Arabidopsis thaliana: one gene and its partners. The protein of the gene in region 1 binds, or shares a complex with, the protein of each later gene. Each region holds a gene or a part of one and is shown in the gene's direction. Other genes may lie near its edges.

Evidence for each region.
Region 2: FUS5 (region 1) and COP9 share a complex: the UniProt entries of both Arabidopsis thaliana proteins name them as parts of the CSN complex.
Region 3: FUS5 (region 1) and CSN5A share a complex: the UniProt entries of both Arabidopsis thaliana proteins name them as parts of the CSN complex.

What each region holds. Positions count from the first base shown.
Region 1 is NC_003070.9:380,907-391,644, reverse strand, and holds FUS5 (Proteasome component (PCI) domain protein), read left to right. Parts: upstream 1-1,836; 5' UTR 1,837-2,076; coding exon 2,077-2,235; intron 2,236-2,343; coding exon 2,344-2,419; intron 2,420-2,506; coding exon 2,507-2,595; intron 2,596-2,704; coding exon 2,705-2,794; intron 2,795-2,884; coding exon 2,885-2,929; intron 2,930-3,035; coding exon 3,036-3,106; intron 3,107-3,238; coding exon 3,239-3,377; coding exon of another isoform or gene 3,378-3,422; exon of another isoform or gene 3,423-3,972; coding exon 3,973-4,061; intron 4,062-4,141; coding exon 4,142-4,166; 3' UTR 4,167-4,368; downstream 4,369-10,738. Other genes in the region: SBI1 (Leucine carboxyl methyltransferase), read right to left, coding at 104-187, 382-429, 522-642, 781-883, 1,081-1,162, 1,246-1,293, 1,395-1,608, 1,702-1,769; AT1G02080 (transcription regulator), read right to left, coding at 4,963-5,217, 5,312-5,512, 5,602-5,736, 5,828-5,932, 6,022-6,213, 6,321-6,474, 6,676-6,737, 6,805-6,951 and 14 more. UniProt on the Arabidopsis thaliana protein: Component of the COP9 signalosome complex (CSN), a complex involved in various cellular and developmental processes such as photomorphogenesis and auxin and jasmonate responses.
Region 2 is NC_003075.7:8,128,516-8,138,922, reverse strand, and holds COP9 (COP9 signalosome, subunit CSN8), read left to right. Parts: upstream 1-3,934; 5' UTR 3,935-4,055; coding exon 4,056-4,139; intron 4,140-4,247; coding exon 4,248-4,327; intron 4,328-4,701; coding exon 4,702-4,883; intron 4,884-5,391; coding exon 5,392-5,499; intron 5,500-5,734; coding exon 5,735-5,874; 3' UTR 5,875-6,043; downstream 6,044-10,407. Other genes in the region: XTH15 (xyloglucan endotransglucosylase/hydrolase 15), read left to right, coding at 727-1,002, 1,091-1,284, 1,363-1,762; AT4G14120 (uncharacterized protein), read right to left, coding at 2,111-2,298, 2,493-2,586, 2,676-2,924, 3,025-3,233, 3,372-3,738; AT4G14105 (uncharacterized protein), read left to right, coding at 9,247-9,447; AT4G14104 (capsid-like protein), read left to right, coding at 9,609-10,043; AT4G14103 (F-box/RNI-like superfamily protein), read right to left, coding at 10,333-10,407. UniProt on the Arabidopsis thaliana protein: Component of the COP9 signalosome complex (CSN), a complex involved in various cellular and developmental processes such as photomorphogenesis and auxin and jasmonate responses.
Region 3 is NC_003070.9:8,105,546-8,116,133, reverse strand, and holds CSN5A (COP9 signalosome 5A), read left to right. Parts: upstream 1-4,072; 5' UTR 4,073-4,238; coding exon 4,239-4,628; intron 4,629-4,755; coding exon 4,756-5,037; intron 5,038-5,123; coding exon 5,124-5,271; intron 5,272-5,374; coding exon 5,375-5,460; intron 5,461-5,986; coding exon 5,987-6,064; coding exon of another isoform or gene 6,065-6,136; exon of another isoform or gene 6,137-6,162; coding exon 6,163-6,252; 3' UTR 6,253-6,560; downstream 6,561-10,588. Other genes in the region: AT1G22910 (RNA-binding (RRM/RBD/RNP motifs) family protein), read right to left, coding at 8,185-8,521, 8,611-8,843, 8,987-9,026, 9,474-9,600, 9,896-10,028, 10,153-10,326. UniProt on the Arabidopsis thaliana protein: Probable protease subunit of the COP9 signalosome complex (CSN), a complex involved in various cellular and developmental processes such as photomorphogenesis and auxin and jasmonate responses.

The sequences.
Region 1 (10,738 bases):
ACCAGAATAAAGAAGAGGGTAAAGAAATGAGAGTCCTTATATCAGAAATTATACATGAAAGTTAGCCCTGCTTTAATCATAATATTCTAACTGCAAAACGAACCTGCCATCCATTATCAAGAAACAATCTCTCCTTTGCAAGTAAAGTTGGTGATGCATCAATGCTTAAGAGTGCACATCCCCGACTCTGAAGAACAGAAACACCGTTAAGCTTTCAGAACAAGTTTAAATGAAGGTAATTGATCAGTACAACATGAACCCATGTGGCAATACTAGAATATTTTAGTGTCATACTAGTATCCATATTTTGACAAAAATCTCAAAAAAGCTTTACTAATGAAGATGTCGCTGTAACTAGAGTAGTAGAGTACACGTTCTTACCTCCAAATTTCTAATCATTTGATGCCCAAATGCATCATCTGGATGGATCTGCAAACAGAAACCCAACGGGTTAGACACATAAGCAATAAGATTCGTATCTGCAATATTATGCAGACAAGGAAAATCACAGTTGAGCTAACCTGCTCATATAAGAAAAATACTGCAGTTGAAAACGTTTTTGACGACCAATTGACGATGGCACGGCTTGAATCGGGGTCCAGATAAATCAAAACACATTCTGCAATAATAAACGTCGGCAGACTGATAATGATATTAGGGATCAAGTAGGTCTATCACCAGTAAGTATCTGTTACCATATATCTTAAACCCGGGTAGAAGAAGAGGGTTGAAGGTTCAAGATAACAGTGTGTAAAATAAATAAAAATTATTCATGGATACCTTAGATCCATATCTGCAAAGGATATAACATCTCTTAATTTTGGTATATCGCGCAGGTCAACTGGAAGTAACTTGTAATGATCACTGAGAACTTGTCCTTCGTCTGTAGAGATAAACAGCCCAACGAGTTAAGAGTAAGCAACTGAAACTAGACGCTAACGGTACAAAGTAAAAGGGGGTGGTTGAGTTAGTAGCTAGTAGAAGCGGAATGAAGAAAAATATGAGTGCACAAGCTGAAATGCATCATAATGAAAAGGATCATTCTACATAATAATACATGGGGGGAAAAAAGGCTCTTACCAATAGAAATAGATGCATTGGCTCCTAGTTTGTCCCTGAGTTGGCTGGAGTTTTGTATAACAGCAGCCTTCTTGCTAGTCACCTAACGTAAGAAGCAAATCCATTTAGGCATTAGACTCAAAACACATGATGGATACTTTTGTCAGCACGCTCATCCAGTAGTACCTCCTTAAAATCAAGTTCCACATAGAGATTGGGCCCATTCCCCTCATCCTACAAAATGAGAAGAGAAGAAGCGAGAGATCCCTGGAATAAGCCGAAGAATGGTGAATTTGGTAAAAGCTAACAAAAAGGAGAAGAAAAAGAAGACGCACCAGCAACTGAAAATAGGTAGTATCAAAGCCAGCTCCGAGAGACAGTATCTGTTTCTTAGAACTTGTCCCGCTTAGAAGAAACTGAGACATAAGCTTTCGGAAGGCAGCCCAACGGGAAAAGTAACCTCGATTAATGATGGGAGATCTTCGAACAGGTCTTTTCACAAAGAGATGAACATAGTCGTCTTTCATATATCCCTTTTTGACACAAGACCTTTAAAAATATTATCTAGGCTCAAAGATCCACAACAACAACAAAAAAAAAAGAAGAGCCCTAATTAAAGAAGAGAGAAAGAGGTAGGCGTACAATTTACTGGCGGATGCATCGTCGTTAGTAGCCTGAACCGCCGCTCTGTTGCTGCGAGATTCCGCCATCGTCGTCGCTCTCTCAGCCAAAATGAAGGAAGAAGAATATTCAATAGTCTCTCTCTTCCCCGGGATTGTTTGGGCTCACCAGACGCGGTTTCTAATATTTCTCTTAGTAGGCCTTGGCCCAGAAACTACGAAATTTGAGCCCAATTATTAAACAAGATTCTAGAAGAATTCGGTCGGTCACATAAAAAAAACAGTAATATAAAAACGGAAGAAGGAAGGAGCAGAGAGAAGAAGTTTGGGATTTTATTCGTTATTAGTGTGGTAAGAAAGAAAACCCTAAACCACCGGAAATCGATTTGTTTGGAAGATGGATATCGAGCAGAAGCAAGCCGAGATCATTGATCAGCTCGTGAAGCGAGCTTCTACTTGCAAATCCGAGGCTCTGGGCCCGCTCATCATCGAAGCCACATCGCATCCTTCTCTCTTCGCCTTCTCCGAGATTTTGGCTCTACCCAATGTTGCCCAGGTACTACTACTTTATGCTTTTCACGATCTAGGGTTTTACATGCTTTTGTTCTTCGCTGATCATAACAACTTGATAGATACTAGTAGCTGATTAATCGTAATTGTGCAGCTTGAAGGAACCACAGATTCTGTGTACCTGGATCTACTACGCTTGTTTGCCCATGGCACCTGGGGAGACTACAAATGTATGACCCCTTTGTCATATGCTATTTCAATTCGTTTTCCCTTTTGTCATATTCTCTCCTCTTGACTTGCTTTCATCGAAACACTAGGCAATGCCACCCGTCTTCCGCACTTGTCCCCTGACCAAATTCTTAAGCTTAAGCAGCTCACTGTCCTCACCCTTGCTGAGTCTAACAAGGTATATTTGTCTTAGGTTCATGATTTGCTCCTGCTATCTACTCTGTTCCATTATCTTTTTCCCCTGCTGTTTGCCTAACTGAATGTCTCTCTCACTCTGCTTGTTATAGGTATTGCCCTATGATACACTAATGGTCGAGTTAGATGTTTCCAATGTTCGCGAACTCGAGGACTTTCTTATCAATGAATGCATGTATGCGGTGAGTACTCTTTAGCAGTCTTCTAATCTCTATTTGACAACTAACTGTGACAACGCATGGTGCTCATTTTTTTTCTTTTACACTTTGCAGGGTATAGTTAGGGGAAAACTGGATCAGTTAAAAAGATGTTTTGAGGTGTGTTTTGGTTTGGGCCTCCTTTTCCTATTTTAACCATTGTGCTTTGTTTCTAAACGTACGAGCCCCCCCTTCTAAACATCATATATCTCTTGCAACCATGCAGGTTCCGTTTGCAGCTGGTAGGGATCTAAGGCCAGGTCAACTAGGGAATATGTTACACACATTGTCCAACTGGTAGTTTTCTTCTTCCCTTAGATCCAGGATTTTTTGCCTTCTATATCTAATTATAAGAACTTGTACGTGATGTTAGAATACATGGCTAATGACGTCCTACTCTTTTATGTGTTGGCCCAAATTGATGTCTAGGTTGAACACGTCAGAGAATCTGCTCATTTCAATTCAAGACAAGATCAAATGGGCGGACAATATGAGTGAGATGGACAAAAAACATCGTAAGGAAGCAGAAGAAGGGGTGGAAGAAGTGAAGAAGTCTCTGTCCATGAAGGTCAGTCGCGCTTGGAGTCCTATTGGCTTCACTTTTCCCTACTAAGTATATTATGTAACTAATATTGGTTACATTCTTTCTTGGTTACTGTCTTGTGACCATGAGTTAGAGTCCAGTCAGCTATTCTGTCTTATATTTCTTCAGAGAATTGTAGTGGGTTTCTTCTTATTAATAGCTTAGGTCTATGTAAGCGGGGATGGGAGAGACTTGATAAAAAAATCTTTCTAGGTCTTTGAGCTTTCCAAGTCCAGTCCTATCATAGATTAAAAAGTTATGTTTCTTAATAACAAACGAATCGATCAGCCAACTGTGGCGGGCTTTTTTAACCGTTCTTTCGTGGAACAAGAAATCTTACATGTTGGATGTAAACATATATTATGAAGTTTTCTTTAATTAAAAACAAACAAGGAACGCAATCACAACGGCTGTTAGTGAAGTGTTAAAGTCATTAGAGGACATGAATTGTTTGGAATGGTAGTACTTGGTTATTGTCTGATTGTTAAATGAAATGAAACAAGGTTCGTTTGGTTTTTTGTGTCTGAAATATGATTGGGAAGGGTGGTGGTCGATATAGTCTTACTTACGTTGTGGGCAGGGGGATGTTGACATCAGAGGGAATAAGGAGATGTTTGGGGAACCAAGTGGAGTGATGGACTACGAAGAAGATGGGATCCGACCAAAGAGGTAACGAATATTAGATATGAGTGAGATGATAAGTACAAAGGAGATGATATAACATACACACATTCAACTTTGGAACGCAGGAGGAGGCATCCTGTAACAAGGTAGAGGAGCAAGAGAGAGCAAATGGTCAGTGCGGATTGACATTCCATTTACCGAGAGTAGATTATGATTATTTGGTTGCGGATTTTCAACTTGTATAAGATCCTCTGTTCTCTCTCACAATAACCCCTTGTTATGTTTGATTTCCCTCATTAGCAAATTTGGTGTCTCTCTGCCCATTAAAAGAAAAATGGCTTTGAATTTAGTATTCAGTAATCAATAGTCTTGACACTTGAGCAAAGCTAGGCGCTTGGATCATATGGAATGATACAGATATTCTCAGTGTTCCGTCTTTTGACCACTAGCCAGCGCCTTGGCCCCTCACATGTTGAAACCTGCTTAGTCTGCGACAGCTGCCTCTTAGGCGGGCATGAAAGTGTTGTTTATTACGTCATCGACTAGATCCCACCATCGGAATTCTGACCGAAACATGTTCCTGAGAACGTTATACAAAGTACTAGTAGTCTAGTACTATATGATGACAATCCCTGCCGATTTCTCACACTCCCTCAGCATAATCATAATCTCTTTCAGTGTTTATGGTCATGTTTTATGACCATGAAAACACAATCCCCGCCGATTTCTCAAACATGTTTTCACCTAACTAATTCTCAAACAGACCCTTAAGAGCAAGGATAAAGGAATAATAGTGTTTTTTTTTTTTGTAATTAGAAAACATGTTTGTGAATCTTGAAGTTAAATAAATAAACTAAGACTCCTAAAATCTCTCCTACTGTATGTATAATTGTTACAACATAATATCAAAATACGCATACATATATACAAGTTGAAAGCTAAAGAGCTAGTGAGAATTGTCTGAGACCCAACCTCCCGAAACCATTCCCTCGTCGACAGGCTTCAGGCCACCACAGGATCTGGCTACCGATTCAAACAGCTTCTCAATCTCAGGCGCACATCTGATGAAGGCTTGTTTCCAGAAGCTATATCTTGGGTTCTTTATTAGCTCAATGAATGTGATTAGAAGTCCCCATGGATGTGGCCTGTTCACAATTAGCCGTTCCAACAGCACTCTAGTTATTTGCTCCTGTATGATCTCCTGTTTCATTCATCCCAAGAAAAAGAAAAAAAAAATCAGATTTCCATGCTCACTAATTTTTCCACACAACTCTTGACAAGCAAAGCAAACTCACCTGATCAGATTCGAAGAATAGATAGAGCATGATGAAAGAAAAGTAATGAGTGTGGTTGTTGGGGTATCGAAGCTGATTGGCGATTGCATTAAGGAACAGATACCGCCCTTCCGTATCAAGTTCCATACTTAAATACTTGAACATCTGCAAGGCCACAACATTTTGAGCCTGTGTCTCACCGGCCTGAAGCTGCTGAATAGCCTGTTATCGCAATGTCGGTTATTTGCATATATATATATATAATAAACTAGAAATCAAAAGAAAAGGCTGTATAGAAATTAGACCCATACCTGCATTCCAGTATATAGCACAAGCGAGTTGATCAATGGTACACTGTAACGGGTTCCAGCTGAACTAGCCTCGCTGGACGATAGAAGTAACTTTGTCTTCAACTCACTTAGGAAAGTTGAATTTTGCTGCCTCGACTGCAGAAAAATTATATGAGTATCTCTTGATATAATCTCAAGAATACCAAAGTGAATATAAGTAAATTGAAGAATCAGGTGTTCCCATTACCGTAAGATACTCATCCACGTCATTCTTCATTTGCTTTGCCTTTAGCGCAGCATCAACCTCAGAAAGGATACAGGGAGCTTCTACTATCTCAGGTAACAAATCAATCTGCAATGAACACGATAATTCAGCCTACAAGGAATATATTTTCTTTAAAATATGTTGAACATGCTGGAATCTCCACTATCATCTCGTACCTTTAAATTTGGGGTAGAAGGATCAGGAAGCCTCATGTTCCGTGGAAAAGAACTGAGGATAATATTCCGCATTTGTATGCAACTTGAAGGAATCACATCACAGAAAGTAAAATGATAATCACATAGGAACTCTGGGAAATCATGAAGCAGAACCAGTAATACTCTCAATGTCCCTTTGTATAGGAAATGAACCTACGCAATTAATAAACACACCAAAAAAGAGACCACTTTAAGTTACCATCGACTATATCCTTTAGTGTCCAATGCAAAACAATTACAGAAGAGAAAAAGGCACAAACCGGTCCTCCGAGTTCAGCATTTCTTAAAAATGGCTCAAGAAACTGAAGCAAGTCCACCAGCAGGCGCTGAACATATGGCCAACCCTTCTGGCCATTTACTGTAAGTAGTTTGGGCATGAAGCTTCTGTGGCTGACAAGTTCTAGCCATGCAAAACTGGAAAAATTTATAAAAACCTCAGTGGAGAAGAAAAAAAATGTATAAAACACGGATCACAGATCAAAGAAAAGAAGATACATATGTCAACAACATGAAATGTTTGACAACATAGGTATTTGACTGCCCTCAAATTTCCTGAGAGATTCAAATTTTTAAGTTTTAATAGAAGCACGGTGAGAAATAGGTTTGTGTCCTAACCTGAAAGCAGGAATCTTAAGAGGCTGCAATGCGTGGAAGGCGTTGGCAAAAGCTGTGAGAACCTGCAACAAAAGATTAATTAAAGTGATAACAATTAATAGCAGCTACTTCAAGGACAACAAAATGCACCTGAAAGTTTGCACCATCCGTCCCAGGATCCAGGGAACACAAGTCCAGTAGCCAGTTGATGAACAATCGGAAATATGGTTTAGAATTGAGTGATGTCTTTTTATCTTCTGCGTCCTTTTGAATAAATCTCACTGTGTCAGCCATGATCTGAAACAGGTAATCAATACCACTCACCTTTTCCATCCATTATAGTAGAAGTTAGATTTATTTCCAATAAGAGTATGTGTCCCCTTACCTCTGAAAGAAGAAATAACCTACTGCTAGACTCCTGCTCAGGGAAATACTGAACAGATTGTCATAAGAAACAAACAAAACAAAAAAAGCTTAGCCGGCAATGTATTTTGGGTATAATTATCCACGAAGAATGCAAAAAAAAAAATGAGCACTCTACCTTCAATATTGAAAAAACAAGCTTTGCATACATATCAATGATAAGGAATGATGGACTCTGAGGTTGCTGAGGAGATTGCACAGCACCGGAATTAATATCTTCAGAAGATATACAATGAGCAACAGAAAGTTCCTACAGAAAGGAAAGCCAAAATCAATAATGATGCCTCTCAAGATTTGAAAGTGCTGATGCTAAAACATTCTTAAAAGGTAAAATCACCAGAAGAATTCGGAAAAAACTCTCTGTTGTATCATCTCCCTTAAGTAATCCAGTCTGGTGCAAATGCAGGACATATTGTGAACATGCGGTTTCATTTGCACCAGGAAGTTCGCAGATTTGATACCAGTTTTTAAATAGCGTGGACACCTGCCAAACCATACAGAGGAAGACAAAAACAAGATATAAACAAGAAGTACGAGAGATGTATGTTCAAACATAAAACTGAAGAGATAACAAACTACAAACACATGTATCTAAATACATCGAATTAAAGTGAAAATTTAAAATCCATCTACAAGACAAAAATAAGGAAAAAAACATGCATACTGAACGAAAATAGCTTCATAGAAACGTTTGTTTTGAAATCCTTTTTGTAGCTTGCAAATTCATTGTGCTGATACAAACATTTTAGCTTTTGATTTACTCTTTTGCAAGTGAAAAATTTAGATATATGCAATTCCCAATCAACTTTTAAAAAAGAAAAGGTAGAGCTCTAAATCAATATAGAAGTTCATAAACGCTAATAACATGCAGACAATTACCCGATTCTGGAAACCCGCAGGATCTGATTCCACATAATCCAAGCTGGTACTCTCTTCTGTGTTAGTGGTGTTGCACGCAACCTAAGAAAAAGCTAACATGTCAAATATACATTTACAGTCTGATTACAGGCAACATTCGGTAATGAAGACATCTGACACCTTCTCATCCTTTTGCCTATCGTTGTTATCATTTCCGGTTGAACTATCAGAGAGGCCAGCTGTGTTAGTAACTGGATTTCGTATGATGTCAATTAGCTGTTGCAATGACTCAGAAGATCCGGATTTTGAGGCAAGCTACAACCAAAACAAGAATACAAATTGCAGCGTCACCAAATATAACAATGCCAAATTTCATAATATTTGAACCTAACCACAATACTTGTCAGTTGGCATTATATGATAAACAGTGTTATGCAGTAGATTTAACCACAAAAAAAAAAAATTGAACCTATCCCTTCCCTAGTTGTATGTTTTCACACCTATTAACTGTTTTTTTATATAATAGAACAAGAATATGCGACTGCAACAACAAACGCAGAAGAATGTTAAAATTGCAACCTTTGCCAGCGCATCAACAAGACTGTGGAGCTCTGAAATGACACTCGACTCCTCAGTGACCAAGGATTGGAGTAGAGAAATAGCAAAGTCAGTTGCGGTCTCTGCGTAACAAACAACTTGTTAAAACAAGTTCACTAGCCAAAACAAAAAAAGAATGTTACCACACAAGGACATCAACAAAGGTTAAGCAATTCAGCATACTGTTTCTCCCTCCATCAAGATGCTTCGCCATGTGGACATTGTACTCCGCTAGGCTAAGCAACTCACGCTGGATAAGACCAATAGTAATATCTTTGTTGAGCTTCCGATCCTCCTCTGAATAAATCACCTGTGTCAAAAGTTTGAAGAAAGATAATTAATTATAACTAAAAATACCAAAGAAACAAATCTAGTATCTATAACCAGTTGAGGATAGGCTCCAACTACAGGAAACAGACTCGACCTAGCACTTATATGATATGTGTTATCCTATGTGTTCTGACAGAAATAGTGACAAATTAATGGAGAAGTAACTGAACAAAGCACATCAGCGAAGTGAAATCTTGAAAAGGTTGTAAACATACCCAACTAGTGAGCTCTTTAACAACACGCTTGCAAACATCACGGATAGCAACAAGTATTGCTAGGTTAGCACTGACGTGAAGGTTACTTGATGCATTCTCGTAAAGAGCCTTGAAAGCTTTTTGAGCGACAGCAAAAGCGGCTTCATCTCTGCTTATACATCTGAGGATGATTTCAGGAACTTCAGAAATTACGGCCTGAAAAATCAATGAGATCTGCATTAGTTATTGAATTCATACTGGATAGAAGAAAATAGGCATCAATTGGAAAACACAGAAACCATTTCCAAAAGTTAGAGAAGGTTTTCAAAATTAACTTCTAATTTCATTTATTCTAGGTGCACGTAAATGGATAACAATTCTGCACTATAACCACCTAGGCACTAGGAAATCAAATACCTGGATTTCATCATCTCCTGCATTATTAGCCACTAATTCCTCCATCTGAAACAGTTTCAAGAAGTTTCTCACATATAAAGCAGCAAAAAAAAAATGCAGCAAGGAAAACACAGGATAACCACTTTAGTAACCTTCTGAGTAACAATTTGACATTTATCCAGTGCATCTCTCGTGGACAGTGAAGGCTGTGTAATATTACTAGCACCAAGTCGTTCCATGGTAGCAGCTGAAGTCAATGTCTGCAGTGATGTTCCAGTTTCCTTGTATATAAATAAGCACAGCTTAGTAATTCATTATAAACCTAAGCGAGTAATCATTTGAAAACACAGTATATCTCACTTTCGTAGCAGCGTCAGAGGATTCAGCCAGATTCAATTCAGAGGTTGGTAGTGACTTAGTAAATTGAAGACTGGATGAGTCACCAGCTGGATCGACTTGTGAGCTTTAAGACAGGTAAAATGATATGTCAACATTCAGCTGTGAAATATACGAATAGAAATGAGAGCAGTTTTATCGATCTGCTTTACAACTAAGCACCTCAAAAGTGAGACTGGAGAAGATTCAAAACCATCCACAGAAATATCTGATGGCCGGGAGACCATGTCCATCCGAGCGTTTCCAGCATTAGACAAAAATTCAGAAGCAACTTTTCCTGATACTGGACCATAACCACTACCAAGCGCAACATCACCAGATGAGCTTGATGCAGCAGATAAACCGTGTGAAGTTTGGGTCGACTGCTTTTGCCAAGGATGTTGAACAAAGTCCTGAAAATGCACACATCTTGTTTAGTCATACAAACACAGAACATACCAGAGGCTACCTGTTAAAAACAGTACCTCATAAACTCTCTGCTGAGACAGGGAGAGGTGTCCAGGTTTTGGACGGAGGGATTCGGGTATAAAACTGACGGAATTCTGTGATAGAATGTTTGGATCGAAAAAGGAGGATCCAGCACCATCTCTATGCTTTCTCCGTAACAACAATTGTTGAGCAATGTCCGCATCAATTGTTTGTATTGCCTGTAGTGACACGGACATAAAAATTAGTAACTAGAAGAAATTAACCCTCTGGTAAACGGAAGTGCCTACACTCCAGGGAAACCTACTTCGGTTATTTGATTCAATCAGCTGAAACAGAAATAAAGTCCGAGATCTAATATCTGACACAAACCTTTTCTGTAGCAGCCTGTTCAATAGCAGCACAACCCAAATCCAGGTTGTCATTGGTGACAAGTTGCACAATTTGTTCAAGAGCATCATTTG
Region 2 (10,407 bases), on another chromosome or scaffold:
GATTAAAATTTTATTAAAAGAAGAAAAATTTAAAAGCCTATAACAAAATAAAAAAGGAGGCTCGAGGTATGATGGGTGTAGCAGAAGAGCTGGCAACAGCTATCGACTGAGTGATTACGAACTCAGTACTCAGTGTTCTCAGCTCACACACTCTTTTTTTGTTCTCTTTCTTTTGGACAGCTTTCATTTTCTCTTTTCTTTTTTCTATTTTGTTTCAAAATTCCATCCATATTAAAATAGGCCTGATCATGAGAATAAAGGAAATACTAATGATGAGTTTCTCAATAATGCAATAAGATGCAATTATTATGAGCTATTTACTATTGAAAATGAGCAAATAAATGTCAAAACACAATCTGGTTAAGTTAGAGCAACTCCATTGTATAGGATTCATGTAGTTTCTAAGAAAACAAAATGTATTAATATTTTACTTTTACATCCAAAAAACCAACTTATATGAGTAATAGAAACGATCCTAATATTAGGAATTTTAGAGATTTTCTCTCATCTGTTTCTTAACTTTTCAATATTTTTATTTTTTAAAATTGTATGAGTTTCTACTAAGAAACTACTGCTGGAGTTGGTCTTAGCTTCCCAATGCTTCTCCACCTATATATATGCATATCTCCTTCTTAAAACTCATCTCACACCAAAACACAAAGCTCTCATCTTCTTTTAGTTTCCAAACTCACCCCCACAACTTTCATTTCTATCAACCAAACCCAAATGGGTCCAAGTTCGAGCCTCACCACCATCGTGGCGACTGTTCTTCTTGTGACATTGTTCGGTTCGGCCTACGCAAGCAACTTCTTCGACGAGTTTGACCTCACTTGGGGTGACCACAGAGGCAAAATCTTCAACGGAGGAAATATGCTGTCTTTGTCGCTGGACCAGGTTTCCGGGTCAGGTTTCAAATCCAAAAAAGAGTATTTGTTCGGTCGGATCGATATGCAGCTCAAACTTGTCGCCGGAAACTCGGCCGGCACCGTCACTGCTTACTACGTAGCGTTTTCAAACTCACACTCACTCATAATGTTGCTAAAACTGAAGAGACTCTTTTCTAAATTTGTTTGAACGTACATGTTTGCAGTTGTCTTCACAAGGAGCAACACATGACGAGATAGACTTTGAGTTTCTAGGTAACGAGACAGGGAAGCCTTATGTTCTTCACACCAATGTCTTTGCTCAAGGGAAAGGAGACAGAGAGCAACAGTTTTATCTCTGGTTCGACCCAACCAAGAACTTCCACACTTACTCCATTGTCTGGAGACCCCAACACATCATGTAAACATCCATCGATCTATTTTCTCTAACAATAAGTGAAAGACGTAGATCTTGACTCTCTTGTTCTTGTCTCTGCAGATTCTTGGTGGACAATTTACCCATTAGAGTGTTCAACAATGCAGAGAAGCTCGGCGTTCCTTTCCCAAAGAGTCAACCCATGAGGATCTACTCTAGCCTGTGGAATGCAGACGATTGGGCCACGAGAGGTGGTCTAGTCAAGACTGACTGGTCCAAGGCTCCTTTCACAGCTTACTACAGAGGATTCAACGCTGCGGCTTGCACAGCCTCTTCAGGATGTGACCCTAAATTCAAGAGTTCTTTTGGTGATGGTAAATTGCAAGTGGCAACCGAGCTCAATGCTTATGGCAGGAGGAGACTCAGATGGGTTCAGAAATACTTCATGATCTATAATTATTGCTCTGATCTCAAAAGGTTCCCTCGTGGATTCCCTCCAGAATGCAAGAAGTCCAGAGTCTGATGAACACATATTACCTCATATTTCTCTGCTTGTTTGATGCAATTCTTAAATTCCTCTGTTATTCCATTGTACATTGTCAAGATCAATAAAGCATTCCTGGTTTCAAAATATAAAACAACTGAAATTAAACCTTTAAAGAGACTACTATTGTCTTTCACTTACCAATAAAGGACAATCAGAAAAATATGGAGACATAAGAATCAACAAGTCTAATGCATAGGTACCTCTAATGTTTTCGTTTCAGTTCTTTGACCTACAACTACAAGTACCTAGATGAACAAGCTCTGTGTAAACAAGTCAAATACGCTTAAACCCTATATACATGACTTTGTTACTAACTGATTAACACTAACAGCTAAACTCAGCTAACAAAAGTTGAGTTTCTTGCTCATTCTTTGGATCAGCTAGTGGCGTCTCAACGTTGTTAGAGCATGTATCTAAATCTGTAACTTCATTTGATGCCCCTTTAGCCTCAATAGCTGAAGCATTCTCCTCTATATTCTTCTGAGGATCTGTATGCGTGGTTTCAGGAGTTCCTAGAAGAACAATGAAAGAAAAGAGACATCAATTTCTAAGGCTACCAATTCTGACTTTATAATTTCAATACAAGCTAATATCATGCATTTATACTATCTTACAATTTACCAAGCCACAGAAGACAGTATTATTATCTGACTAGTACTGACATTGAATTATACCGTGTGCTAAACATGAATATAAAGAGACTAACCATGATTATCCTCTGAGTTCTCTTTGAGATATGAAAGCATTCTTCTGTAATTTACAGAACCTGGCACTTTAAATAGCTTGCGCCGGCAGCACAGCTGTTTCATGTCACAACAGGGAAAATGTCAAAAACAGATTCTTAAATAAGGAACAAGACTGCAGCTTCTTAAAAAAAAACAGATCATACAGAAATTTTGTTGCCACTGGATGAAGTCATCTTCTTGAAAGGGCTATTGTTTCCATGAGCTTTAACAAAGCTATTGGCAGATACGGTTTCAGGAAGTCGGTAATTTGCTGCCATCAATTCACCTCTTTCATCCTTAGGATCTTTTGCATCACCATCTCGGGTAACATCTGCAGCTTCCATCAAGTAAGGAAGCATTCTTCTATAGCTCACAGAGCCAGGGTTCTTGAAAATCTTTTCCGGATGACGAATCTGTATACATATCACAAGAAGAAAATTAAGCAACCAACGAAAAGCCAATATTGTAGTTTAAACGCATCATTTGCTATAAAACCATGAGTAAAAAACATACCACTTTGCTGCCGAGATTGGTACCAACTTTCTTCCCAGAGACCTCACTGATCTCTTGATTGATAGAACCTGCTTCATTTTTCACCAAAGAAAGCTCACCGGTGAACATTCCTAAATCCGGTGGCGTCGTTTGTGAGCATTCCACTACTTCTAAATCACCTCCAGTAGCCACTAATCCATCAACAAGATATTTGCTTCCTTCTCTCATAACTGTTTTCACCATTGTGTAATCATTATAGTTTCTAAACAGATATTGAAATTTCCTAATTCCACCTTCATTATATCAACATTCTCCTAAATTTTCTTAGAAAAACTTGTACAAGAAAAAGACCTTAAAATAAGAATTACCATTAGAATTCGGAGTATCGCAAGGAGATTCCACATTTAGCTCCTTGGTTAGATTTCCCCCTTTCACATGAAAGTCCCAATCACTAGAGATGGAACTAGGAGAGAATACGCGTCTGAGACACAGATTCTTCACGGTGACACGAGAACAAGTTCGGGGCATTTGAGTAACAATTTTCCCTTTGATCGGTGACGCATGATGGTGACGAAGATCCGTGACAATGTGAGACAATGGGGATGCAAATCGAACGGAGGAACGATTGCTCTGAGTTCGTAATTTGCTTGCCATAAGGTTCTGAGAGGTAGTATAACGAACTGAAGAAGACGAAAATCGCATCTTCTTCCTCAATATAGGATCTGATTCGGCCATGGTAGAACTCGCGCCAAGAGAGAGCTACAGAGAGAGAGAGAGAGTGTGTGTGAGAGTGAGAGAGACTGTTTGTTATTTTGGCGGGAACAGACCGGGTGGCTTTATGATGTTTGGCGGGAAACTAAGGCTTAGTGGGCTTGGCCCATTTATCCTCTTGTGTTTGGTCAATTTTTTGGTCGGTTTAAGTAAACCGTATTGAAAAGATTATTAAAACCTGTAAATCTCACAGAATTTATTTTTCTTTTCCCTGGAGTGGTTTTGGGAGTAGAATTGTCATCTTCGCAAAAGCTTCGAGAGTAGTGCAATCGAAACAAGTCATGGATCTTTCGCCTGTTAAGGAAGCTTTGGCCGCCAAATCCTTTGACAAAATCGCCGATATCTGCGATACTCTCATGCTTCAGGTTCGTAATTTCTCTCGCTGTCGTTGTTTCTGATGTTCATTAGGGTTTTGTGAAGTGGATTTTGTGGTGTTAATCGTTCGATTTATCGCTTCTTAATTTTTTTTATAGGTTGCTTCCGAAGGAATTGAATATCATGATGATTGGCCTTACGCAATCCATCTTCTGGGTTACTTTTACGTTGACGATTGGTGAGTTTATTTTCTTCTTTGATGTATTTGTTTGCGTTGTGAACCTAAAGTTAGTTCCTTTATGAAATTAGAGATTGTTTCGTTGAACTCTTGTGAATTTTAGCGCGTCAAAGTTGTTCTTACTACTTCGATTGCTAGGTCCTAGGTTGAATCTAAGGTCTAAAGTCTGCTTTTTACATTACCTTGTTTCTATCCAGTGATTTGAAAAATTAAAACTTGACACAAGTTAGTAGTTGTTGAGACCCATTTAACATTTTTTTCCTTTGTGTATTGATAGTGAGTGTAGTATGTTGAAACTATTGAGTTATGGTTGTGCCTTCTTGACTATGGATTTGGTTTTGATGTTTTGCTGTGCTTGTTTGGAAATACTGCAGTGATAGCGCACGTTTCCTCTGGAAAAGGATACCTACAGCTATCAAGGAGAGGAAGCCTGAAGTTGTTGCAGCTTGGGGGATTGGTCAGAAGCTGTGGACACACGACTATGCAGGTGTATATGAAGCTATTCGGGGTTATGATTGGAGTCAAGAAGCTAAAGATATGGTTGCTGCCTTCTCAGGTAAATTTTTTCTCTGTTTATGACTTCTTAGCTAGTATGAATTGGTTTCTTGAACTAAGCTTGTTGATTGCTTATGTAGTTGTGTACTTTTATTACTTCATATCCCTCTTTAGGTTTTGAGCTTTGATATACATATTGAGATCGAATAGTTGTTTTATTGTTTTAACTTGTGAGGCCTAGTTTAGGATTTCTGTTATGCACAGAACCACCTTTCATCTTATCATTGAACTATTGGAACTCGAATTTGAATCAAATTTCATCAATGTATGTGCCTTATCACTTCTTCATTAGAAAGTAGTTGCTTCTGTGGTCTAACTGAGAGAGAGGTAGGTAGACTCACACAGGAGGAACGAGTAAGCAGTTGACAGACTTTTCCAACCAAATGTCTAAACGTTGATCTGAATTTTGTGAAGTTGTACCTTTTTCCACATCAATTGTTCAACACCTGACCTTTATGGGTCACTTTCCATCAGATTCTAATTCTATTTCTGAATTGGTTTTGTTGTAGATCTTTACACAAAAAGGATGTTTCAGCTTTTGTTGTCTGCCTACTCCACAATTACCATCCATGATTTAGCTCTTTTCCTAGGGATGACGGAGGATGATGCCACAACTTGTAAGCTTCTTTCTGCAATTTCCTTTGCTTACAAAAGATTAAGTACCTCATTTCACATTTCTATTGAATTCTACTGAATTGATTCTTATATTGATACTTTTGAAAAATGTCGAAGAGTTTGTGGCAATGTCTTAGCTTAGTGTTATTGTAGGCATGAATCTTATGACAACCATATATGTTACGGAATCAGAATTAACAGTATAATTGTTTTCTTTATTGCTGGATATATACACAGATGTTGTAGAGAATGGATGGACAGTGGATGCAGCTTCTCAAATGGCGAGTGTGAAGAAACAAGCTGTTAAAAGAGAGCAAAAGGTGGATTCATCGAAGCTACAACGCTTGACGGAGTATGTGTTCCACCTTGAACATTAAAACTAAGTGCCGATCTCCTATTAAGATAGTGAAATTCTAAGAACAGAATTCGTTTTTGAGAGATTTCACAATGACTGATTCTAAGTTGCAACATATCTTGACTCTTTGAGTATATGATGAATAACTCCTACCAATTTTACTCTTATAAGATCAGTTTACACCAACAGGCGAACTAAAACAAACATTTAAAAGATCAGTTTACACAAAAGACGAACTGAAACAAACAAAAGATGAAGTCAATATTATGAGCCAAAAAGGACACAGCCTAAATAACACACGTTTTCAGAACAAAATTAGGCAGAAACAAGAGAAGATCATTTTAGCGACTATAACAAGCTAGCCAATCTCTGAGATAAAAGATGATAATCTTCAAACCGGAGAGGTACTCTAGAAGAATAGGAGCCATTTGTCGATCTAGTAGATGACAAGCTGGGGTTATCAGAGATTAATAATTCTTAATTTATTATTAAATTATCGATAAATGAACAATTTTAAATTTATTGAGAGATTTTACTATTCTTTTATAATTTTTAAAACTGGTTTATGTGAAAAGCAGTTTTTGTAGTTATAATCAACATCCTTTTAAAAATAATGAAAAATATAAAAAGTAAATAATTATTAAGTCTAGAAAACAAAAAGAAAAAAAAATTGATACTGTAGAAATATTAGAAATAAACTCTTCAAAAGATTAATACAAATTTTAAAAAACAAATATTAGTAGGAGTAATAGTTAGAAATACTCAAATGTAAACATAAATTTGTATTAATCTTTTATGTTTACGATAGGTTTTGGTGAATCGATAATTTGTTCATATTCCCTATCCCGTGTGTTTTTTGTTCATATTTTACTCTGTTATATCAAAAACCTAAAGCCTAGATAGTCTCATTTCTCAAGACTGATCCTTTTGTTAAAATCATTTACGCTTTGTGACTTGTGAAGAAGAAGATACATGCATCCTCTGCGCGAGTGAAAAAAATCTCACCTCTCAGTTTAGATTTTCCCACCAATCTAAAGACTGAGAAGGAAGACTTGTTGGTCCCAAATCATTTGTAATTGAATATAATAGTAACAAATTCAAGTTTAAGAAACTCTAAAATGTCTGTTTTAAAAAAGTGAACATGTCAAATTGAAAATCAATTATATAAAATCAAATGACATGCATTTTGGTTGAAAGAAAAACAAACTTCTCCATAAAAAGCCCAAAAACAAGCTAAAAAGAAAGCCATAAACTAAAAGTCTAGGGTTTTGGCGACATTTGTGGGTTTCTAGGGTTTTGGCGACATTCGTAGGTCTCTAATTCGGCGAGAGCACATGTCGCAGTTTTCAGACTCTAGTGATGACGATTCTTCAGGCACCATCCCAGATTTGAGGGTTGATTCTCTGGTTGAAACCTTGAAAACTCTTCTGATGAAAAAAAACTGAAACACTGGCCATGAAGCTTCTTCAGGTCGTTCAAAATTTCATTTTAAATCTGCAAATATGTTTGTTTATGAGTTTTTATATAATATATCTGTTTTACTGTCTATGTAATGTGTGAATCTGTATTTTTTTTTTTTATCTTTTGTTGATATAAAATATATGGATTCCCGTTTTTTGAGTCCACCACTAGAGACTAAGAGTATCTCCAACAAACACTTAAACCCTCAAATTTGAAGGTTTTTTGAACTCCAATAAACCCTCAAACCCTTATTTTTTAAAGGTCACACCCTCAAAAAAATTTTCTATTTCATTTTCGTCCTTATAATTTATATATTTTATAGATAGTTATATTCAAGAGTATTTATAATAAATGACTATAGATTTGAAAAGAATGTACAAACTAACCTTGAGTCACAGTATCTTCTCGGAAACATGTTGGAGAACACGTGTAATTACGTAAATGTCCTTTGTAACATGTTATTTTTCCGAAATACAGGCGATAACATAATATCCTCTTTTTATCTTGTTATTTTCTCTTATTACATAGTATTTGTAAAAAACACATGATATTTTTTGGAAAAAACATTCTATTCAGTTTAATATCTCTTTTTATCATGATATTTTGTAGTAATACACGTTTTTTATTAAGATCACACGTGATTTCTTTAAAAATATATTCTTATTTTTTAGTAATACATGGTTTTTATTAAAATCACATATAATTTTTATTTTTTAAGATTCTGTTCATGTAAAAGAATTTCATAATAATGTTTTTTCTTAAAAATTCATAACGTTTTTTGAAATAGCATGTTTTTAAACTAAATATAACATGTGAAATTTTAATGTTACATGCTATTTTGAAAAATTACACGGATGTGTTTCGTTTACTGTTCATCTTACAACAAATGAAGGGTAGCTTTGTTATTTCCTTTTTTCCGACAACGTGGGTCCATGGTTATTTTGTAACAAAAAACTTTCTCTCTGCTAGTTTCTTAATTTGTATGTTTTATTTGGTTATCTACTAATATTACCCTATATTCAATTCAATTATATTAAATATATCCATATAATTAAAATACATTAAAATTAAAATTAAAATTATTAAAATATAAAATATATTATATTTCAAAACAAAGTTTATACAACAATGATATTACATTGAGCAATTTAACACACATTAACATTATCATTTCAATAATAAAATTATACATGAAATACACGAGTTTTATTTTATGTTTCTTTTTTAATTTATATATAATTTTGTAGTAACATGTAAAGTTTTGTTTCTCTAATATTGTTTGACATTATTTTTTTGAAATGTATGTTTTAAATTTTTTTATGAAGTTTTATCATTAGAACAAATGATTGTCAATATTGAGGGTGTGTTATTGGAGTAAGTGACCATCAAACCCTTATTTTGAAGGTTTGACATCTTTAAATTTGAGGACTTTTTGAACTCCAACAAACCCTTATTTTTTGTGGGTGTGAATAGTGTACCTTCAAATTTGAGTGTGCACTACTCACACCCTCAAAATCTTTTCAAAATTTCATTTTAGTCCTCATACTTATTTTTTTTTTAAATAATTCTATTACATTTAATTTTTACAAGTATATTCATATAAATTCAAATATAAAAAACATAACATTTAAAAACAAATTTATACAACAATAATATTACATTGAGCATATATGGGAGCATTATAGACATAACTACATTGAATAATTTTATAATTTTACATCTAATTTTATAAATTTTTTTATGTTTTATGTTGTGTTTATTTTCTAATTCATATATAATTTATTTTTTTTTTGGTGAGGATATATAATTTTGTATTGTCATGTAAATTTTTGTTTTTGTATATTATTTAACATGATTATTTTTATAGTATGTTTTATATATATTTTATGAAACTTTAACTTTTATCATTATAAGTAATTGTTGTTACAGTACTATGAAAGACTATAATGAAAATTCAAAAAAATTTAAATGTAAATTTGAGGGTGTACAGAGGCAAATGTCACGGAGACACGGAGGAACAGAGGGTCAGTTGATCTTTTGGAGCATTTATGAGATCGAGTCAGGCTTGAATATCCACACCTCTCGGAAACCAATTATGAGATCCCTCGTAACACGAGAGACACTCAACCGGTGATTGGAAATAAGAGTTACGAACTCGCGCTCCATCTTGATGGAAGACTCGGTTTCTGCAAAAGCAGAGCCAATATCTCCCGTCCTGGAGTCAATGTTACACTCAATGCGGCTAACTACCGCTCTCAGCTAGGTGTCGTAGAAGTAAGCAGTCTCTCTAAACGAATGATTTGCTACCCTACTCTCGAATCAGCCTTCGCAAGCACATGGATTTGTGCCCGCAAGACCGAATGGTCTCAGACCGCCTACGCCGAAGCTGTCCGCTATGCACATGATCTAGGTATGGACTTTACAACAGTCGTCCTAGACGTTAAAGTTGGTTCCTCCTTGTGGCTATTCGCTCCTATGATCTCTGATGATCTCTTCTCTCTCCGATGCCCACTCCCCGAGGACAACTACACTGTTACCGGTGCCGTCGTCCAAATGTTATTCCATAAGGCCGCCGCGAACAACGCCGTCTCAGAAATCTTCAATCTCGCTTCTATACCAGATGCTGACTACGGAAGCTTCATTCCTGGACCCCGCGAAGGATTCAACCTCTCAGCCTATTATGCCATCTCCAATGAAGGCAGCGATGAAGTTTCGAAATCTGCCGTTTAAAACTAGTGATCTCTTGTTTTACTACGGACCCTCTGATAATATGTGACTCTCTTTTAATTCTTTACTAAATCAGTTTACACAACAGACAAACTAAAACAAACAACAAATGAAGTTTAACATTGTGAGCCAAAAAGGATAGCCTAAATAACATATCTTTTGAGCAGAACTACGCAGAAACAAGAGAAAATCATTTTAGCGACTATAACAAGCTAGGGTACTTACTCCCCCAAAGCTTTGTCAATCCATCTCTGAGTAAAGGAGGATAATCTTCAAACCGGAGAGGTACCCTTTAGAAACAGAGGAGCCCATTTGTCGATACAGTAGATGACAAGCTGAGGTTATCAGAGATTAGTTGGACAATACA
Region 3 (10,588 bases), 7.7 Mb from region 1:
TATTTAATAGGGGAATGTACCATATGACCCGAATGCACTTTTATCCAAATCCACCAAAAAAATCTTGCAAAAATAATATAGAGATAAGAAACGATAGTCGGTTTTGATAGATATAAGATTAGCAAATATATTAGTTAGCTTAAATTAGTTAAAGAATACAAATTGAAAAGGTATATTACACTTTATTTGAATATAGTATCAAAACTTATATAACACAGAGATTTGATAAATTTTTAATTGTTGAATACATTTTTTTGTGCTAATTTTTATGTGATTAAGATTTAATTGATTTTGTATATAAAATATTAAATTGACTTATTTGTTTATAATTTGGTAACATATAGATATTTGAATATTTAGTATATTTTGCTTCAGTTTAGGAAATCTTTGATGACCCGTCTTTAGATCCAATAAGCTCTATAATCTAGATATTAACCTGCAGTATACCGCATGTAGGCTTATATTTTAGTTAAACTAAAAACTTTTATTGTAAAGATGATTAAAAAATATATAATATTATTTTATTTGATTTTAAATGTATAGTAAACTGTGAGTTGTATACGTTTTGTTGATATTATCTATATTGTTTAGTGTTTAAGATTATATACTTGTAGTTTGATTGTTAATTTAAGAGTTTCACCTGTAGTATACTATCTTGTATTAATATCGATCTAAACCCGTCAATTCTAGGATTTTCCAGCTTGTATTAAAAATTGAATCACATCTAACATGTTATTAATTATTGTAGTATATATAAATTATAAATTTTCAATATAATATGTATGAAATTGAATATAAATATTTCAAATTATGACCCGTTACTCAGTAAAAAGTTTTCTTAAATCTATTTTTTACCCTTATAATATTTTTTCATGTATTGAACAGTTTATATTTGTTTTTAAAAATTCAAATTATGGCATATGCAAAAAAACTCTAATTATTTTTTTATAATGATGATATTATTTTTCCGCAAAAATAGAATCATATAACGATGAGAAGTGAACTATAATAATTAATAAAAAATTAATATGATAATTTAGATATCAAACATAATTTGTTGATTTTAACTGGTTACTTTTTGGAAATTAATAATGTATTTTGTTTTTCTAATTAAATTAAATTAATTAAAATTTAGATATCAAATCTTATATGTTGATTTTGATTGGTTATTATTTTTGGAAATTAATAATATATTTCATTTTTTAATTAAATTTAATTAATTAAATTAGTATTTGACTTTTTAATCCTTAAAGAGATAAATTAATTTACTCTTTAAAATTTTATTTCTAATGGCATACCTATGTAATTACTTACAAAAATTAAGGTTACATTTAAAATGTACTTCCCAAATAATATAGTAGGATATAAATTATAATCTACTGATCATAACGCTTAGTTTATAGTACTTATTTGTATTAGACTTTCATTGTACATGGGAAATAAAATCTTAAAACAATCTCTAAACCGTTAAACTCTAGACCAACAACGAACCCAAAAGGCCAAATGCATTTATATGAACAAGTTTGATTACTAGTTCCACCAAATTTCTACAATAAGTTTCCTTGAGATATTCCATAGTAATTTGAAGTTGATTTTTAATTGACATTTGTTGCATTATAAATGAGTAAGATACGCCATATAATTGTTGAAAGACCTAAAGCGAGTTTGAGATCATTAAGATAAAGAGGTAGTCATAAATCGTTTATCGTCAAGGTCGACGAAAAAAAGAAGTAAAGTGGTCATATTCGATTTCTGATAGGTATGTAAGAGAGAGATTAAATGCTTTCTAAAATTTTATACATGATTTGGACCTCTTATCTAATATCATTCACTCAATTTATGGACGAGAACATAACAAAAATTTAAATACTTATCGAAGAAGGAAGAAAAAATATTTAGCAACTTGGCTTTAAAGGTTATTCCACTTGTCACTATTCAAAGATTCGAGTTTTGAGCCTTTGAGTAATACCTTGGTCACCCTTATATTGCAACCACGTGGTATAAAGATTGTAACGCTTTAATTCCAATGACCCCTTATTTTGTGGACTTTTGTCATCAATTGTACCAAGTTTATAAAGATATAGAAACTGAGGGCGTATGAATTGTTTCAAGCTAGACATCAACAAAAAAAATGTTATCCACTTTCTCAAATCTATATATACTAAAGGATGTGTATTTAATCTAGTAGTTTAAATTATTTGTGTAAAATTTACAAACTTTATGTTATTTAATTATAGATTTTAAAAACTTTAATGAAATCCAATGTTATTAAACTAATAATTTAAAAATTAACTTTAAAATCAATTGTTATTGAAAACAGTTTGTGGAGTTGATTCTTATTCATCTTGAAAGATTTGAGAAAACTTCTTTAGTTACAAATACACAAATTCAAATCTCATGGTTTTAGATAGAATTTGAAAAGATTTCTATAATTTTAAGAAAGTTGATGTGATTAATTGTACAATCTTTTCAAATTCCATCTACAATCATGAGATTTGTTTTCAATAACAGTTGATTTAAAAGTAAATTTTAAAATCGTTAGTTCAATAACACTTGATTTTAATAGAGTTTTTAAAATCCATGATTGATAAATTTTACACAAATCACTTAAAATACTAGATTGAATACACTTCTACAAAATCATCAAAATCATATAACTACTTACCCTCCCCCTCCCACCCCCCTCTAAATTAACCGTCATTTTAACAAAAACTGCATGTAACAAAACTTTCAAATTTTACCGAATGTGACAAAACTTTCAAAACTGCATGTAACAAAACTTTCAAATTTTACCGAATGTGACAAAACTTTCAAATGGGACAACACTTTCAAAAACAGCAACATTTACCACATGTCACAAAACTTTCAAATTTTACTTTTATACTTTCACGTAATCTAATTCTATTACCACTTTGTTAGCAACCACTCCTTCCCCATGATCTCAAAATGTATCCTCTCCTCTAAACTTTCTTCCACTTTTTTTTTTATAAGTAATTGTAACAGTCAAACAGATGCATTAACTTCTTCTTTATTGCTCTTCTTTCTCACAAACTCAGAAGATCTTCCATTTTTTTTTTCAAAATCCAACTAAAGGCAATTATGTTTTATTTTGCCAAAATATTTTGATATATGATGTAATTTGGCATTTATTTTGTATCAGCATAGCAGGGGCGGCCATAATCTTAGTATATGCATATAATTGAGGCTGCTCTTAAATTTTAGCGTATTTATATTGTAGTGAATTCTTTGTCTTGTATAATATTTTGGATGTAGGACCTGAATGTTGGTACATGAAGACAATCTAATATTTTTAAAGCAGTTATCATTAAGCATTTAAGCAAGTAATGAAACACAACAACACGGTAGAAATTTAAGCAAGCACTTTGATGATCTCTCTCCTTAACTCAAAACATCTTTATAGTATTGTTGTGTTTCATTATTTGTTCTATGTTAATTGCTTTACAAATATTACACTGTGTCCTTGTACAAATATTTAGGTCTAATGCTAAAACTAATTTTTCTTTTGATTCGCAACACTCAAAATAAAAAACTGATCGAAAGCTAACCTTATGTTATACTCTCTGAGTTCTGACACAAACAAGAGAAGAAAAGAGAGGAAAGTGATTTAGATGCTTTGATCGATGATAGAATGAGAAGACAAAAGCTTGACTTTATAGCTAAAGATCAACGTCTATGCCATAAAGTCAAGCATAATTCACACAATATATAAGTTGAACATGCTATCAAAATAAGCTTACTACATTGGTGAAATTATGCATGTGTGGATATCTCAAGAAATATGCATGAGATGCATTACTCTTCTTTTACGCTTTGTGATTTAAGATATTGTATGCCAAATCTATGTGTTGCCAACATTGATTTCTATACCAATTGGTTGATACAATGACTGGAATTTATCCTTTGATTTGCCAACATTGATTTCTATAAAAGTTAAACAAACTAAAAATAAAAAGGGAAAAATATTTAATAAAAAATGTACAATATTAAATTTCCATAAAAATTTTATATGGTTAATGTTTTGGATTAGCATTAGTCCCCAAATCCCATATTAAGTAAATCCATTTTGAGTTTTGTTCTCGCAAACCGGTTTAACCCAAGAACCCAAAGATCTCTCTCTATTTGTTTGCCTTCTTCTTTCTTTCTGACTCAAACCCTCAAATCAATTCTCGCGATTAAGCAAAACCCTAGATTTATTCTACTCTTCGAAGTCGATTTCAATGGAAGGTTCCTCGTCAGCCATCGCGAGGAAGACATGGGAGCTAGAGAACAACATTCTCCCAGTGGAACCAACCGATTCAGCCTCCGACAGTATATTCCACTACGACGACGCTTCACAAGCCAAAATCCAGCAGGAGAAGCCATGGGCCTCCGATCCTAACTACTTCAAGCGCGTTCACATCTCAGCCCTTGCTCTTCTCAAGATGGTGGTTCACGCTCGCTCCGGTGGCACAATCGAGATCATGGGTCTTATGCAGGGTAAAACCGAGGGTGATACAATCATCGTTATGGATGCTTTTGCTTTGCCTGTTGAAGGTACTGAGACTAGGGTTAATGCTCAGTCTGATGCCTATGAGTATATGGTTGAATACTCTCAGACCAGCAAGCTGGTAAGATATCTCTTATTCATCTCTCGCTGTAGCTCCTTGTTTAATTAGCTAGTTGCTACTTGGATCCTTTATGCAAGATTTTGCGAGTGTTTGATTGATTGGTTATGACTGTAACTTTGAACTATAGGCTGGGAGGTTGGAGAACGTTGTTGGATGGTATCACTCTCACCCTGGGTATGGATGTTGGCTCTCGGGTATTGATGTTTCGACACAGATGCTTAACCAACAGTATCAGGAGCCATTCTTAGCTGTTGTTATTGATCCAACAAGGACTGTTTCGGCTGGTAAGGTTGAGATTGGGGCATTCAGAACATATCCAGAGGGACATAAGATCTCGGATGATCATGTTTCTGAGTATCAGACTATCCCTCTTAACAAGATTGAGGACTTTGGTGTACATTGCAAACAGGTATGTATAATTCTTATTTATCGATTTTAAAACTTGGGAGGGTTTTAATCATCGATCTTATGATTCATTTTTTTTGTATGTGGCAGTACTACTCATTGGACATCACTTATTTCAAGTCATCTCTCGATAGTCACCTTCTGGATCTCCTTTGGAACAAGTACTGGGTGAACACTCTTTCTTCTTCCCCACTGTTGGGCAATGGAGACTATGTTGCCGGGCAAATATCAGACTTGGGTAAATTCTTGTATATATGAAAGAGCAAGTTAATTTACTTTTCATCCAGGTCGTAGTTTGATATATCCTCTTTTCTTACCATTTAATTGTTTACATGATGAAGCTGAGAAGCTCGAGCAAGCGGAGAGTCAGCTCGCTAACTCCCGGTATGGAGGAATTGCGCCAGCCGGTCACCAAAGGAGGAAAGAGGTTTGTCTAAATGGTTGCTTTAGCAAAATTATTTGTTATGTTCTCAATGTTTATTGACTGTCTGAGATACTGGACCATGATCTTGAGCTCATACACTTGCCACTTTTCAAGCTTGTTCCTGTGTAGAAACTTTTCATTTGGCTAATTAACTGCTACTATCAACATCTAGCAACTTGGATTAAATTTGAACTTTTTATTCTTAGGCATTATGTTGACTGGATATTGACTAATAGAAACTCTACCTGCAAAACACTATGTTTTACCTTTTCTGGGTTTGAAATTTCACAATTGAGTGTATGTTTAGTCAAAAATATACAGAGCTATTAAAGTTTGAACTAGTAAAACAGGGAGACTTTGATGTATCAATTTGTCAACGAGTTGTTGCCAATAGTCTATGTCTGCTTCCTAGAGTTCTGTTATCTCTGGCTGTGTGACTCATTTTGATATTGTTTTAATCTTCTTTACATAAAAACATTTGTTTTGGAGATTACATTACCTAAGTATATGTGTTGTGGACCACTTTCAGGATGAGCCTCAACTCGCGAAGATAACTCGGGATAGTGCAAAGATAACTGTCGAGCAGGTCCATGGACTAATGTCACAGGTGAGTAAATACAATCTGACAATGCTGATCCTATTTCCCCTTGCGGTTAATGGATCCATGAAATTGACTTAAAAAGTCTTTCATCCATCAATGTGCAGGTTATCAAAGACATCTTGTTCAATTCCGCTCGTCAGTCCAAGAAGTCTGCTGACGACTCATCAGATCCAGAGCCCATGATTACATCGTGAAGTTGGTCTATTCTTTTGTTTTTTGGCTGCGGAAATTGACTATCGGTTTGACCCGGTTTATGAGGCAATGCCCATTGTTCCCTATATCTCTAGTGTAGTATCTGCTTCAGACAAAGATCTTTGGGTTATTAAATGACATTAACATAAATCGATCATTATGTTTTTGCGTTTGACTATCTTGATTTAGTGGTATTAAAAACCAAATTCCAGATACACACGTGATGTCACAGTAATCATGTGCCTGTTACGGAACCATGTGCAAAAAATTGACACAAGCATACAAATGTTCTCCAACGATTGAAGCAACAATGATTCTAGGCCCTCTTTTCTTTCTGTTCTTCATCACATGAAATTCATCAGGATGTTGTTTTTCACATTTATGTTTGAACAGCATTTCTTTTGTTAAAAGCGAACAAATTCTATTCTAAAACCGAAATTGTCATTACAACAAGACCACGATTTAAGGGTACTAAAAGCGGATTAAGATTTCTGCATTCGAACAAACTGACTACTAAACGAACATCAGGCCGAGAAAACAGTCGGTAGGAAGAGATAACGTGTGAAGTTACTTGAGTAGGATTAAGAGTAAGGTAGTAGTAATTGATAGAAGCTGCGTGGGGCTTAATCAATAATGACATCCTCACTTAACCAGCATTACTGGAAAACAAGAATAAGAAACCACATGATGATGTCAAAGACTTTTTGGGCCTTCGCGTATCCCTAAATGGGCCTATTTACGGCCTAATACTTGTCTAATGTATAGTTGGGTAGAACAAGAAGGTCCGAGAGTTCGAAGCTTAAGCCATTCTATCTTTTCTGGGGATCTAGAAGATCCAAATGATCAAAGAAGATATTATGAAAATTTATTCTGGAGATTAGTTTTGATATATTGTGATTTGTTTCACTACTTTTGTTCTTTTAGCATTTTCTCGAAATGCATTTGGATTTTAGATATTCTCTAGTCCATGTTTCAAGCTTCTTGGTTAACACAAGCTTAGGTTGTTAATTTGCACAGACACAACTGTTACTCTGCCCTGAACAAGGATCTTATCTCTACTCCTCTACTCCATCTATATCATCATGCTTGACACCAGGAAATATATGATATAAGACATTTTTAAAATGATACAATTGAGGAAGGCATGAAGCAGTGTTTGGGGGTAGTGTCTTAGACTCGATTTTCATCAACCTCAATGGTTTGATGGGAGCAGCAGATTGTATGTAATTAAGCTTTCATTAAGGGAGTTTCTTTCCACTAGTGTTTTCTTACAAGATAATGAGAGGACAGACTTGAGAGGTGACATGGATGGGCTACAACATGTTTTCTCGCAAGATGTTGACTCTAGCACACAACCACGTCTTAATGTTTTCAGCCCTAGAAGGTGTCAAACTGGACTGAGAAGCATACATTGGGAAACATGAGAACATGAGGAGATGTGAGTACAGTGTTCAGTATGAATATTTCCAGTATCCTTATGAACATACTAGATTCAAAAACTGAAAAGCATGAAGTTGTATGTGTTGCATAGTATATTCTAGGAGGTTATGAGATGTTACTCCCCAAAGTTTTTAACCACTAGTAACAGTAAACAGAGACATTTGAGTAATGCATTTTTATTTAAGAAACATAATCTGAGACTTGAGGACTTAAGTGACTAAGTCTTTAAGAATTAAGATACTAAACATGTTGATGCAACAAAAAGGCTTGCAGGGTTTTGTGCTGATCATTTTGCTTAATTATGCAATCGTTTTTTCAGTCTTTCAAACAGAAAATTGTTTTGGTGCTTGATTTTTTTTTTACATTATCCTAACAGACATTTTCTTTGTCTTGTTGATTAGCCATCCTTAGGCTAAAACAACATAAACTAATTAAGCTGATACATGCATCAGCTTGAGATTGGCACATGAGTGATTGATGATGATGATGCTCCATTAGCAATATCTCTCAAAGAGAAACCCATTCTCTCGAGAAGATGCAATTGCAAGAAGGTGAGAGATGACAAATACGACATGATCACCATCTGAAACAGGAGATCCCATTGGGATCTGCTTAAAAAGCCACCTCCAAATTCCATAAAATGGGGTAGCTTTTAGAGCAGAGGGAGAGAAACTAAGTGCTGAGATTAGCCAGGAGCATCCTTTAAACCATAGAATGGCTCTTGACCTGAGAAGAAGAAGATGATGATATGAAGCTTGATAGCTACCAAAGACTCTAAGCTTCTTTAACGGTAAGGAATAAGAGGTGGTTGAAGCGGAAAGCCTGTTACGCCTGTGGCACAACAAAACACACTGCCAACAATGTTAGTGTATGTGTATATCTTTGTTGCCTTTGGTGTACACATGTCTATTATCATATACGAACCTTGTTGCATAGAAAAGGTCGGAGGAGAGTAATGGTGAGGGTTATAAGAAGACAAGTGATGATAAAATGGTTGTGGTTGAGAGAACTGGACCCCACCATGTCCTCCACCACAAGGATAAAAAGGAGTAGCGGATGCGGCTGCTGCGGTTAGTCCACCGCCTCCGCTGTTTCTGTTTCCATAGACTCCGTATTGTCCTCCAGAAGTGCAGCCGTACATGCCGTATAAGTTCTGTAGCACATCGTATTAGTATTAGATTAAGGCTATGCTATATGAATATATGATCATGAACAAGTAAAGATTCGTTGAGACAGAGAAAGATTCTTAAGTTCGTTATACAAACACTTATGTCAGAGAAGGAAAAAGTTACGGACCGTAGGGAATGATGAGTAGTCTGGCGAGTATGGAGAGTACCTGCGAATATCAAATCAATGTTTTTTGCTTTTACAAAACAAATTACACTTTAAGAGTGACAACAAATATGAATGCACGTGGCACGTGGTCATGAGACAGGAGGAAGCATGTGATGAGAGAGTAAAATGATTGGTGAAAGATGGAATCAGTATAATTTTTAGTTTTACAAGCTGTCCGTTGACCACTTTGTCAGTCATTTAAATCTCTCTATAGACTGTGAAAATTAATCGATCTATTACTGATAATAATAATAGTGTCGGTCCACAAAGAAAATGGAAACATTAGAGGACAGCCAGCTATGTAATGCAATTGCATTGTTCAGTTTAATAGACAAATATGAGTTGGCATTCTTTTGGTCTCAAATGGTATCATGTTATGTTTGATGCATGCATGTACTATCATCATCATCATCATTACATGAAAAAAGAGGGAAATAGAAGAGTGTACCCAAAGAGATTGAGAGGGAGATGGGGATAGTGAGTGAAGGTGGGTGGTTGTGGTGGTGGAGGTGGTCCAAAACCAGTCTGCATTGTGCTCATCATCACTCTCATATTGTTAATCCTGCCTCCTCCTCCTAACACATTCACCATCATCATCACTATCACTTTGATGATCGACATAATGGTCCATTAACATCTATCACCAACTATTAATATTAAGGTTATTATTAATTCCAATACTTGACCACACAAATTTCTAAAAAACCAACTTTGTATATAGAAAATATAGCTAACCATATATAGTAGTAGTAACTAAGAATTATCCTTTTTCTTGATCTAACTCATAGCATCATGAACGTGTATATATTATACACACACACACATAAGCATCTAGACTTTTGAAAAGAAGAAAGATAGAGAGATGATAACCATGGTTAGGAGTGGAGGGTTTGGATCTTTGAAGACCGAGAGAGGCGAGGTTGCAATTTGCTCTTCTCCCGTCGATCACCGGAGTAGCATCCACACAAGCACTCCTCGCCGCCTCCGCTTCCCTGAATGTCACCTGATCGATCATCATCACCATTTAACTTTAGTTTATTAGTTGATTCCTCTTTTAACTATATAATATACACAAATAACATCCATTCTCTTTCTACATATAGGAACAAGGTTTTGTATAAACGTACGAATCCGTAGCCCTTGGATCTACCGGAGGCCTTGTCGGTGATGACTACGGCTTCCAAAATCTCTCCAAACTGCTCAAAGTGCTTCTTCATCGTCTCCTTATGCGTCTCCCAAGCTAATCCTCCCACAAACACCTTCGTGTATGTCGTGTCTCCCAGCCCTATTCCTCCCGCCATTTTTTCCTCTCCGATCTCTTTCTCTCTCTCTCTATATTAGAGTGAAAACAAATTAGCTTATCTTGAGCTAAGTCTATCTCTATGTTTCAGTACTAGTGGGATTGTGAGAGACACAAGGGGTTAATATGCAAGAAGTAGGCTACAACAAAAGGAGTCTATATAAATAGTAGGAAAGAGATTAGAGATCTACTTAATAGATTCATAAGATAAGTTTTTTTTAGGGTTGATTGATATGTAATGAGAACAAGAAGAAGAGGGAAGA